Canis lupus familiaris: one gene and its partner. The protein of the gene in region 1 purifies or fractionates together with the protein of each later gene. This does not show direct contact. Links are inferred from orthologs where the notes say so. Each region holds a gene or a part of one and is shown on either strand. Other genes may lie near its edges.

Region 1 (4,457 bases):
AGAGAGAATGAGTTCTAGCCTGGACTTAGCATCCTGGTATCTCTGAATTTGAATCTACCCTCCACACTCTATTTATCTTTCTAACACACAGTGTGACCCTATCAGCTCCCTAATCAAAAATCTATGTTCTCCATCACCTTCCAGGTAAAATCCAGACTATTTAGCAATGAGGTAGTTCACCTTTCCCACTCTGGCTTATGTCTGTTTTTCCTGCCACACCTGCCAATGATATCTTGTGGTTCCCTTTTACACATCACGTTTGTTTTCATTTCTGTTGGATTTACACCATTGGGCTTTCTTGTTCCTTAAGTTACTAGGACTTTAGTCCCTTCTCCAACTGGTGAACTCTAACTTATCTTTCAAGGCTCTGATCAAAAATCTGTTGAGAGGGCAGCCCGGGTGGCTCAGCGGTTTAACGCCGCCTTCAGCCCAGGGTGTGATCCTGGAGACCCAGGATCGAGTCCCACATCAGGCTCCCGGCATGGAGCCTGCTTCTCCCTCTGCCTGTGTCTCTGCCTCTCTCTTTCTCTGTGTCTCATGAATAAATAAACAAAGCCTTAAAAAAAAAAAAAAAAAAAAAAAAAAAACCCTGTTGGGAGGCTTCTCCTTCTCCCTCAGTCCTATCACAGGATTCCTGGCCTAGATGCCACATACATACATACCACCCCTTCATCACCTGGGTGCCCAGCATCCGGTTAGTAGACAAGCGCCCTCTTTTACCGTTAATATGAATTCTGCTTACTCCTCTTAGAACGTCTCTCCCTGTCCTAAACATTTTTGTTCTCTTTTCCTCACTCTTCTAAAGAAGATGGTGATGCTACGGAGAGACGCTGAAAGGGTGGCTCGGAAGCAGCGTGGGCACAGAGCGTTCAGACAACTTGCCTAGGGGCGGACAGCTGGAAGGGAGCTTGGATGTGGACCCACACCTGCCGGGCCCAAGGCCTGTGCCCTTAGGGCTGCGACACGGCCCCACAAATCCCCAAGTAAAGACACACAGTGTCAAAGCGCGGGGGAGTTCCGCGGCTGGCGCTTCCAAGGGACCAGATCAGGGGCACGGGAACGTTAACGGACCCGCCCCGGGCCACGGGCGCCCTCCGCGCAGGAGTGACAACGAGGACGACGGGCCCACGGTGCTTCCTGCGGCTCCAGGCTCTCGGCGGAACGTGTGCCCGGGGCGGGCCGCGGCAGCCGGCCAACCCGGGTCCTGACCGCCGCTCCAACCGCCCCGCAGGCTCACATTTTCAGGGTGCCCTTGGGCCCCAAGTTGGTGCGCAGGACATCCTGCAGCCCTCGGGCGGCGCAGATATTGACGGCCAAGGCCGCCTGGGCCCGCGCCACCTCAGCCTTGGAGTTGATCGCCTGGACCGCAGCCATCGCACCACCCGGCGCGCCACCCGCCAGGTAGCGGCAGCCTCAGCCCGGATCCCGAGCGGAAGCCCGTGCCGGAGCCTCAGCCAATCCTCGCCGGGAGCGGAAGTGACGTCGCCAGGCCTCGCCCGCACGGAAGCCGCAATCGCTTCGGGTCGGGGCGCCAAGATGGCGTCCTCCGCCTCCGCTCGCGCTCCCGCGGGGAAGCGAGTTGTGAATCAGGACGAACTGCGGCGGTTGATGAAGGAGAAGCAGCGTCTCAGCACCAACCGGAAACGGATAGAATCTCCATTTGCGAAGTACAACCGTTTGGGGCAGCTGAGTTGCGCCCTGTGTAATACGCCGGTGAAGAGCGAGCTCCTGTGGCAGACCCACGTTCTGGGAAAGCAGCACCGGGAGAAAGTGGCCGAGCTGAAAGGCGCGAGGGAAGCCACCCAGGGACCGTCCTCCAGCGCAGCGCCTCAGTCAGCCAAGAGGAAGGTGCCGGACGCCGATGGCCAAGATGCCAAAAGACTCAAGGCCTCCCCGCTGCCTCAGGTGCAACCCTCCACATCCGCTTTGCCCACCAACTTTGACAAAGCAGGGAAGGAATCCACCAGAGCGACCCTCAGTAAGGCTTCGGGACTCGGTTTACTCCCTGATTATGAGGATGAGGAGGAGGAGGAGGAGGAGGAAGAGGAAGAGGGAGGAGGAGGGAAAGGAGGGGACTCGAGCAAGCCGCCGCCCGACGCACAGGGCAAGGACCACTCGCTTTCCTCCCCGAGGGAGGCAACAAGTAGTATGCTGCCAAGCGGTTTCTCGGATACAAATCCCCCCAAGGCCCCCTTAATTCCCCATTCAGGGTCAATTGAAAAAGCAGAAATACACGAAAAAGTAGTGGAAAGGAGAGAAAACACAGCGGAAGCATTACCAGAAGGCTTTTTTGACGACCCTGAGATAGATGCAAGGGTACGAAAGGTTGACGCCCCAAAGGATCAAATGGACAAAGAGTGGGACGAATTTCAGAAGGCCATGAGACAAGTCAATACCATTTCCGAAGCCATAGTTGCTGAAGAGGATGAGGAGGGACGGTTGGACCGGCAAATTGGGGAGATCGATGAGCAGATAGAATGTTACCGTCGGGTGGAAAAGCTTCGGAATCGCCAGGATGAAATAAAAAATAAGCTTAAGGAGGTTCTGACTATAAAGGAACTGCAGAAAAAGGAAGAGGAGAATATTGACAGCGATGATGAGGGAGAACTACAAGATCTGCTGTCACAGGACTGGAGGGTAAAAGGGGCTTTGTTATAGGGTTTCAAGACCCAAGATTTTTACACCCTCTACAATGGTACGAAAAGTGCTGTTTCTGGGTATGATTACTGGTTCCTTCGTGCGTGGAGATTTGGTGACCTAACTGGGTTGTTGACATACAATGAGCCTGTGAAGATAGCACTTTTGAAAATTGGTGTAAAATATTTTTGAGGTGAGGTTGTTTTTGCAATTTTTGAGCTATTGTATACTAAAATGTCAACTTTTTTCACACGTTAAGTGAATAATTTTGCGTTGTCAAATCTGTAAGCTGTAAATATTGTACCTCGTTAAATATATATTTACTTAAGTAATTCTGTTTTGAAATTTATAAATAAATAGAAGCCAGGCTAACAGACAAGCTTTTAGATAAAAACCAAGTGTGGCATTTGGGATATATGTGTTTTTTCTTTTCTGATCCCCTAAATCAACTCAACTTCCTGCAGCAGGAGGGTTTTGTAGAAAGGTGGGGAAGAGGGTTTGTTTTTTGCTTTTAAGAATACTATTTATAAACACTATAAGTCATTCAGGGCAAATCAGTTCTCTGAGTATTGTTTCTGTTTCAAAAACATGCACTACGAGAACATGGGAAAATATATGACCAAACCTCCTTAACCCAATTGTTTCTCTTGATTAAACCAATGATTCTTGGATGTGATGTAGGTGCACATGAAGATCACCTGCCAAGCTATTGAAAAGGTGCCTATGAAGTACCTTGGAGCTTTTAAAAAATTCGTGTGCCCAGAACCTACCATTAAATATTCAGTAACTCTGTGGAGTGGGGCCCAGGTATCTGTATTAGTTCTGAAAGCATCCCAGGTTGTTCTAGTATATGCCAAAGTAGAAGGGTCATGTTTAGGTCGCCCTAAATCCAGAACCCATCTATATGTTTTCACGCTTTGTTTTTTTAAATACCGCTTTCCATAAGTTTATCATCTACTGTATAAAAGAAATACCACCTTTTAGGTTTCATCCAGTCTTAAATTTATTACATTTCATAGTTAAATAAGGGTTCAGAGTTGCTGTCCATTGTAGGGAGGATAAGTTTTTTCTCAAGGAGTAACAATAAGCTTGTTCCAGTCACTCACGAACTGTTGAAATCACTCCTTTTCCCTTTGGCAATAGAGATATTCAAGCGAAAAAGGAATTAGCAGTGTTCCAGAGGTAGAAATGCATATGGCATACTCAAATGAAAGTGTGTAGTAATGATGATAATAACTAAAACATAGCCTTTACCTTGGTTCTAAGTGGTTCTAGGTGTTTTACATAAACCAAATCTAGTTGCTCTAAAGCTCAGTTGTTGGGGGCCAGGGTGGCTCAGTCGATTAAGCATCTGCCTTCAGCTCAGATCATGATCCTGGGGTCCTGGGATCAAGCCCCACGTCGGGCTCCTTGCTTAGTGGGGAGCCTGTTTCTCCCACTCCCCCTGCTTGTGCTCTTTCTGTCAAATAAAATCTTTAAAAAAAAAGTTTAAAGCTCAGGTTTTATGAATACCAAGAGTTAAGGTATGAAAAAGCCTCACTTGGATGCTAGGTGAAGGAATTATTCCTGTCAGCAGTGTAGGAAAAATAGAAGTTTTTGAGCAAAAAATATTTGCAAAAACAATTACGGAAGATGATTTTAGTTGCAGTGTATAAAATGGAATGAATGTGGATAGGAAACGCTGTGAGACTACTTGGAAACAGATTTTAAAGGTAAAGTGAACAAGACAGTTACGGACTGAGAGTAAACAAAGTTGAAAAATTTCACAGGAAAGGCTAATATTTTAGTAGAGGTAGAAGAAAAACAGGAGGGATAAAGAT
Region 2 (4,495 bases), on another chromosome or scaffold:
GTTTTGGTCCCAGAAGGGCAGTGGGGCCATGAGGGCTGCTCACAGCTGCATACAGCTGAGCCCTGTGGGCATGGACTCTGGCTGAAGTCCTGGTCCTCTCATTGCCAAGGGCAGGAGCTGCTCAGGCTGAGGCCCAGGGCAGGTGGGTGCGGTGGTGTGATGGATTTGCTGAACAGTTCTCTGGGTGGGCTTCTCCTCACTCACCTCTGGTTGTGAAGCCCCACCTTCACCCAGGGGTCCTGCTTTCTAGCCCCTGGCACCCTCTGGCCTTTTTATTTGTCAGATGCCAGAGCTGAGATGACCCCCACGGGCACCGACCTTGCTCTTGGCTCTTTGGAGGCCTGGCACAGTTCCCTCAGCCTGTGCAGATGCCAGGTTGAGGCTGTCTGCACTTGCTTGTGTGTGCATTCCGGGAAGGTGCTGAGGCACCTGAAGCTGGGGCCTGACACTCCTGTGTCACCCCAGAGCCTGGCCCACAGTGGGTGCCAGCTCACTGTAAATGAGAGAATGGCCTTGACAGACCAGAAGCACAGTGCTTTGTGGACAGTCCCTGGAGGTTGAGGAGCTCCACGTAGGTAGCCAAGCCCCATGGACCTTCTCTGAGATCAGTCAACTCAGGCCCACAGTGTGTCTCTCATTCAGCACATACTTACTGTTTCTCATGTGCAGAGAGCAAAACAGGTCATTTCCTGGAGTGAAAGGAAGCTTGCATTATGGTGAGGGAGGAAACTGGAAAACAGTTGACCATAGTGTGTCAGATGCTGCCTCTGCCAGCAACTGGATTTCAGGAGCAGGGGAGGAGAGAGTCCTAGCAAGACACGCTGACAGGGTTTGAGTGGGAATCCGATGAGGGAGGAGGCGTGAGATGTGGGGGGAAAGCATCCCACTGCAAAGGTCCTAAGGAGGCCTGTGTTGCTGAAACAGTGTGAGAGTGGAAGCAAGGGGTTGTGGTTGGAGGAGTCTGAGTTGGGGACGGTGCAGAGCAGTTAGTTGTGCAGGGGCCAGGCAACTACGGGTCTCTCAGATGCTGGCCAGAGAGGAGACATGAGATCTGACTATTCACCTGTGTTATTTTCTTTTTTTAAATAATTTTGACCAAAAAAATAGTAATAATTTTGACCAGCAAGCACCTTTTTTACCTTTTTTGTTTTGTTTTAAGTAGGCTCCACACCCAGCGTGGGGCCCCCTGCAGGGCTCACATTCCTAACCCTATGATTAAGACCTGAGTTGAGATCAAGAGTTGGACGCTTAACTGACTGAGTCACCCAGGAGCCCCTTTTGCCTTATTGTTATTTTAGAAGATGTGGGATCCCTGGGTGGCGCAGTGGTTTGGCGCCTGCCTTTGGCCCGGGGTGTGATCCTGGAGACCCGGGATCGAATCCCACGTCGGGCTCCTGGTGCATGGAGCCTGCTTCTCCCTCTGCCTGTGTCTTTGCCTTTCTCTCTCTCTCTCTCTCTCTGACTATCATAAAAAAAAAAAAAATTAGAAGATGTACTTATTTATTAGAGAGCGAGAGCATGGGTGTGTGCTTGCTTGTGAGGAGGAGAAGGGGCAGAGGGATAGGAGAGAGAATCCCCAAGTATACTCCACGCGGAGCATGGAGCCCGATGAGGGGCTCCATTCCAGGACCCTGAGATCATGACCTGAGCCGAAATCGAGAGTCAAGCGCTTAACTGACTGAGCCACCCAGGCAACTCCCTTTTTTTGTTTTTAATTGAAAACTTCAGATGCATGAAAGTAGAGAGACTTAGTACGGTGATCCCCTGCCCTGTAGCCATCACCCAGCTTCAGTTCCCATCCACTTAGGACTGTGTGATTTTACCTGTGCTCCCCTGTGGCACCTGCTTAGGTAATTTTGAAGCAGATGATCAGAAACGTGTCGTTTCATGCTTAAGTACTTCAGTGTATATCTCTAACAGATAAGGATTTAAAATACTTTTTTAAATATAGTACCGCCGTTCCATCTAAAAAGTTAACAGGAATTCCTTAGTGTCATCAAGTAACCCAGCCAGTGGTCAGAATCTGGAATACTTTCATGATCTTTTTTTTTATAGTTTTCAAATCAAGATTTTTAAAAAATCCACACAGTTTTGTGTGGTTGGTATCGCCTAAGTCTCTTAATCTGTAGATACTCTGCTGCTCTTTTTTCATAGTTTGTTAAGACTTACTTGAATGGGCTTTCTGGCTGCCTGGTGTGGAGTCGGCGGGCACGGGCAGGGAGGGCAGTGGGAGTTTGTTGCAATGACACAGCGAGGGAATGGGGGGGCGTATAGGAGGTTGGGGAATGTGGCAAGATCTGAGATGGAGGAGGGGTGGTGGTTGCTAGCAGCGTGTTGGGGGCTGATGGAGCAGACGACTCCAAGGAAGACCACGTAGGGTTTGGGTTTTGCGGGACAAGTAGGAGTTTCTCAGTGGGATTGGAACAGGAGGCTTGAGCAGCTGGCTGTCCCTCTGGGTCTTCGGAGGTTCAGGGCATGCTGACACAATGTCTCCTTTCTCTGGTCTCTTGGCGTGTGTCTTCTTTCTAGGAAAGTACCACTGCCCAGTGCTGTTCACCGTATTCACCAACAACACCCACATCGTAGCCATCAGGACCACCGGCAACGTGTACACCTATGAGGTGGGTTCTCAGGAGCTGCGGCACATATAGGTTCTTCAGGTATATGCCCCAGGTATATGCCTCAGCACCCAGGTGCTGAGGGTGCACCGGGCGCCGTGGGCACAGCCTGTCCCCGTGGAGCTTACGTGCTAGAGCCCTTCCTGTGGCCTCCTGACCTGAAACCTGGGAGGTTGTTTTATACTCGGGGGGTTGGCCCTGCAGTCTTCATCTTCGCTGACCAGGCCCTGGGAGGGAACCTGTGCTCTGATGGCAGGTCCAGGAGAGCGCTGAGCCCCCCCTCTGCCGCCTCCTGCTGGAGTCCCCAGGAGGAGCAGATGCAGGCTGGTGGGCACGCCTGGCGGTGGGCGGCCCCGATTTCCACCCGCATCCTGCTGCTCTGGGCCAGCAGAGAGTACAGCAGCAGTCGCGTGGGTGCTGTGTTGCAGGGAAGCCCTCTCTGAGCTGTTTTCCCACCTGTCCCTGGCTGTTGGCAGGGTCTGGATCTCCAACGCTGCCCTGTGGGGCCTGGGGGTCACTTTTGCCCAAAGTGTGCACAGATTTGGTTGGAGGGACTTGGTAGAGATGCACGGCCAGCGTTGTTGAGCCTGTTTGCTGATGTCAGATGTGTATCATTGGAGTGTCCTTCAGTGAGCTTTGCTGAGATGGCTGATTCGAGTGTCTGGGGCTCGGCAAGCTCCGTCCTCCATGGTGGGGCCACTGCTGTGAGCCCCCAAAGAGTACGTGGTCGTGCCATCCTTTTCTGCACCCCTGGAATGGCGCCAGCCCCTGGGTGGGCTCCAGGCTGCTGGTGCCAGGGTGGGGCAGGCACCATAACAGCGTGCTCCCTCCTGGCTGCAGGCAGTGGAGCAGCTAAATATCAAGGCCAAGAACTTCCGAGACCTGCTGACAGACGAGCCCTTCTCTCGGCAGGATATCATCACCCTCCAGGTGGGCGTCCCCTTGCCACTGCTGTTCCCAGGGAGGACTGGGGTGCCCCCTGCCAACCCCTCCTTCTCGCCCAGGCTCTGGGGCCTGCCTAGTTTTGGTTTCCCAGCTCCTGGGAGCACCCCCAGCTCCAGTGCCCCTGCTATCAGTCTAGGTCTTCACACGGCTGCTCTTCTCTGGTTCTCACACCTCTCCTAATGCCTGTCCTTGCTCTGTCACGGCCACTCATGTCTTCCATGAAAGCCATCTCCGAATCCAAGTGGGAGAGGATGGGCTGGTGTGTGCTCTACCCCAGGGTTGAGCATAGGACGTGCCTTGAGGTGCCAGACCTGAGTGGGTTCCTGAAAGGCCTGGACTTAGAAACTCTAGGGGTGGCCTTCGTGGGCCATTCCTGTCCATGGCTTGTCCCCTCCTCGTCAGAGGTCCATGCACACTCACTCCCATGGGGTTGCTTGCAGTCACCAGAGCCTGAGGACTGCAGGCTCTGTGTCTGGCAGCTGGGCTGGAGGGAGCTTGGGAGGGTGTGTCGGAGGCCTAAGGTGGATGCCCTGTGTCTCCCTACATCCCCATGATGAGGTCTGTCCATCCTGTGGCTGCCTAGCAGCAAAGGATGCTCGTCAGCCATGTGCTGAGGGGCAGGGGACAGAGTTTGGCGTGCAGACCAGCCATTTGTGCCACTGTCCCCACCCTGCCCCTGCTCGTGCCCTTGCCTAGGCGGAGCCCTCTCCTGGCCCCTGCTGCCCTCCATTCCCAGCTCGACACCCCATTCTCTGCTGCCGGCTCACTGTGCTGCACGTGTTCTCTTTGCTGCAGGACCCCACCAATTTGGACAAATTCAATGTCTCCAACTTCTTTCATGTTAAGAATAACATAAAAATAACAGATCCAGGTAGGTACAGCCACGGCTGCTCTGGGTGCCAGGGGTTTGGGTGAAATAGGTCAGTGCTTTC

Evidence for each region. Proteins that work in one complex are often made in the same cells at the same time.
Region 2: the proteins of ZNF830 (region 1) and PPIL2 purify together in Homo sapiens (co-immunoprecipitation; 4 studies listed by BioGRID and IntAct, counting the BioPlex papers as one, with this or other methods). This does not show direct contact. The link is inferred for Canis lupus familiaris from reciprocal best matches to the Homo sapiens genes ZNF830 and PPIL2.

The regions. Positions count from the first base shown.
Region 1 is NC_049230.1:38,349,359-38,353,815, reverse strand, and holds ZNF830 (zinc finger protein 830), read left to right. Parts: upstream 1-1,489; 5' UTR 1,490-1,536; coding exon 1,537-2,658; 3' UTR 2,659-3,186; downstream 3,187-4,457. Other genes in the region: CCT6B (T-complex protein 1 subunit zeta-2), read right to left, coding at 1,238-1,374.
Region 2 is NC_049247.1:31,117,830-31,122,324, forward strand, and holds part of PPIL2 (RING-type E3 ubiquitin-protein ligase PPIL2), read left to right. Parts: intron 1-2,529; coding exon 2,530-2,621; intron 2,622-3,458; coding exon 3,459-3,548; intron 3,549-4,358; coding exon 4,359-4,434; intron 4,435-4,495. UniProt on the Homo sapiens protein: Has a ubiquitin-protein ligase activity acting as an E3 ubiquitin protein ligase or as an ubiquitin-ubiquitin ligase promoting elongation of ubiquitin chains on substrates.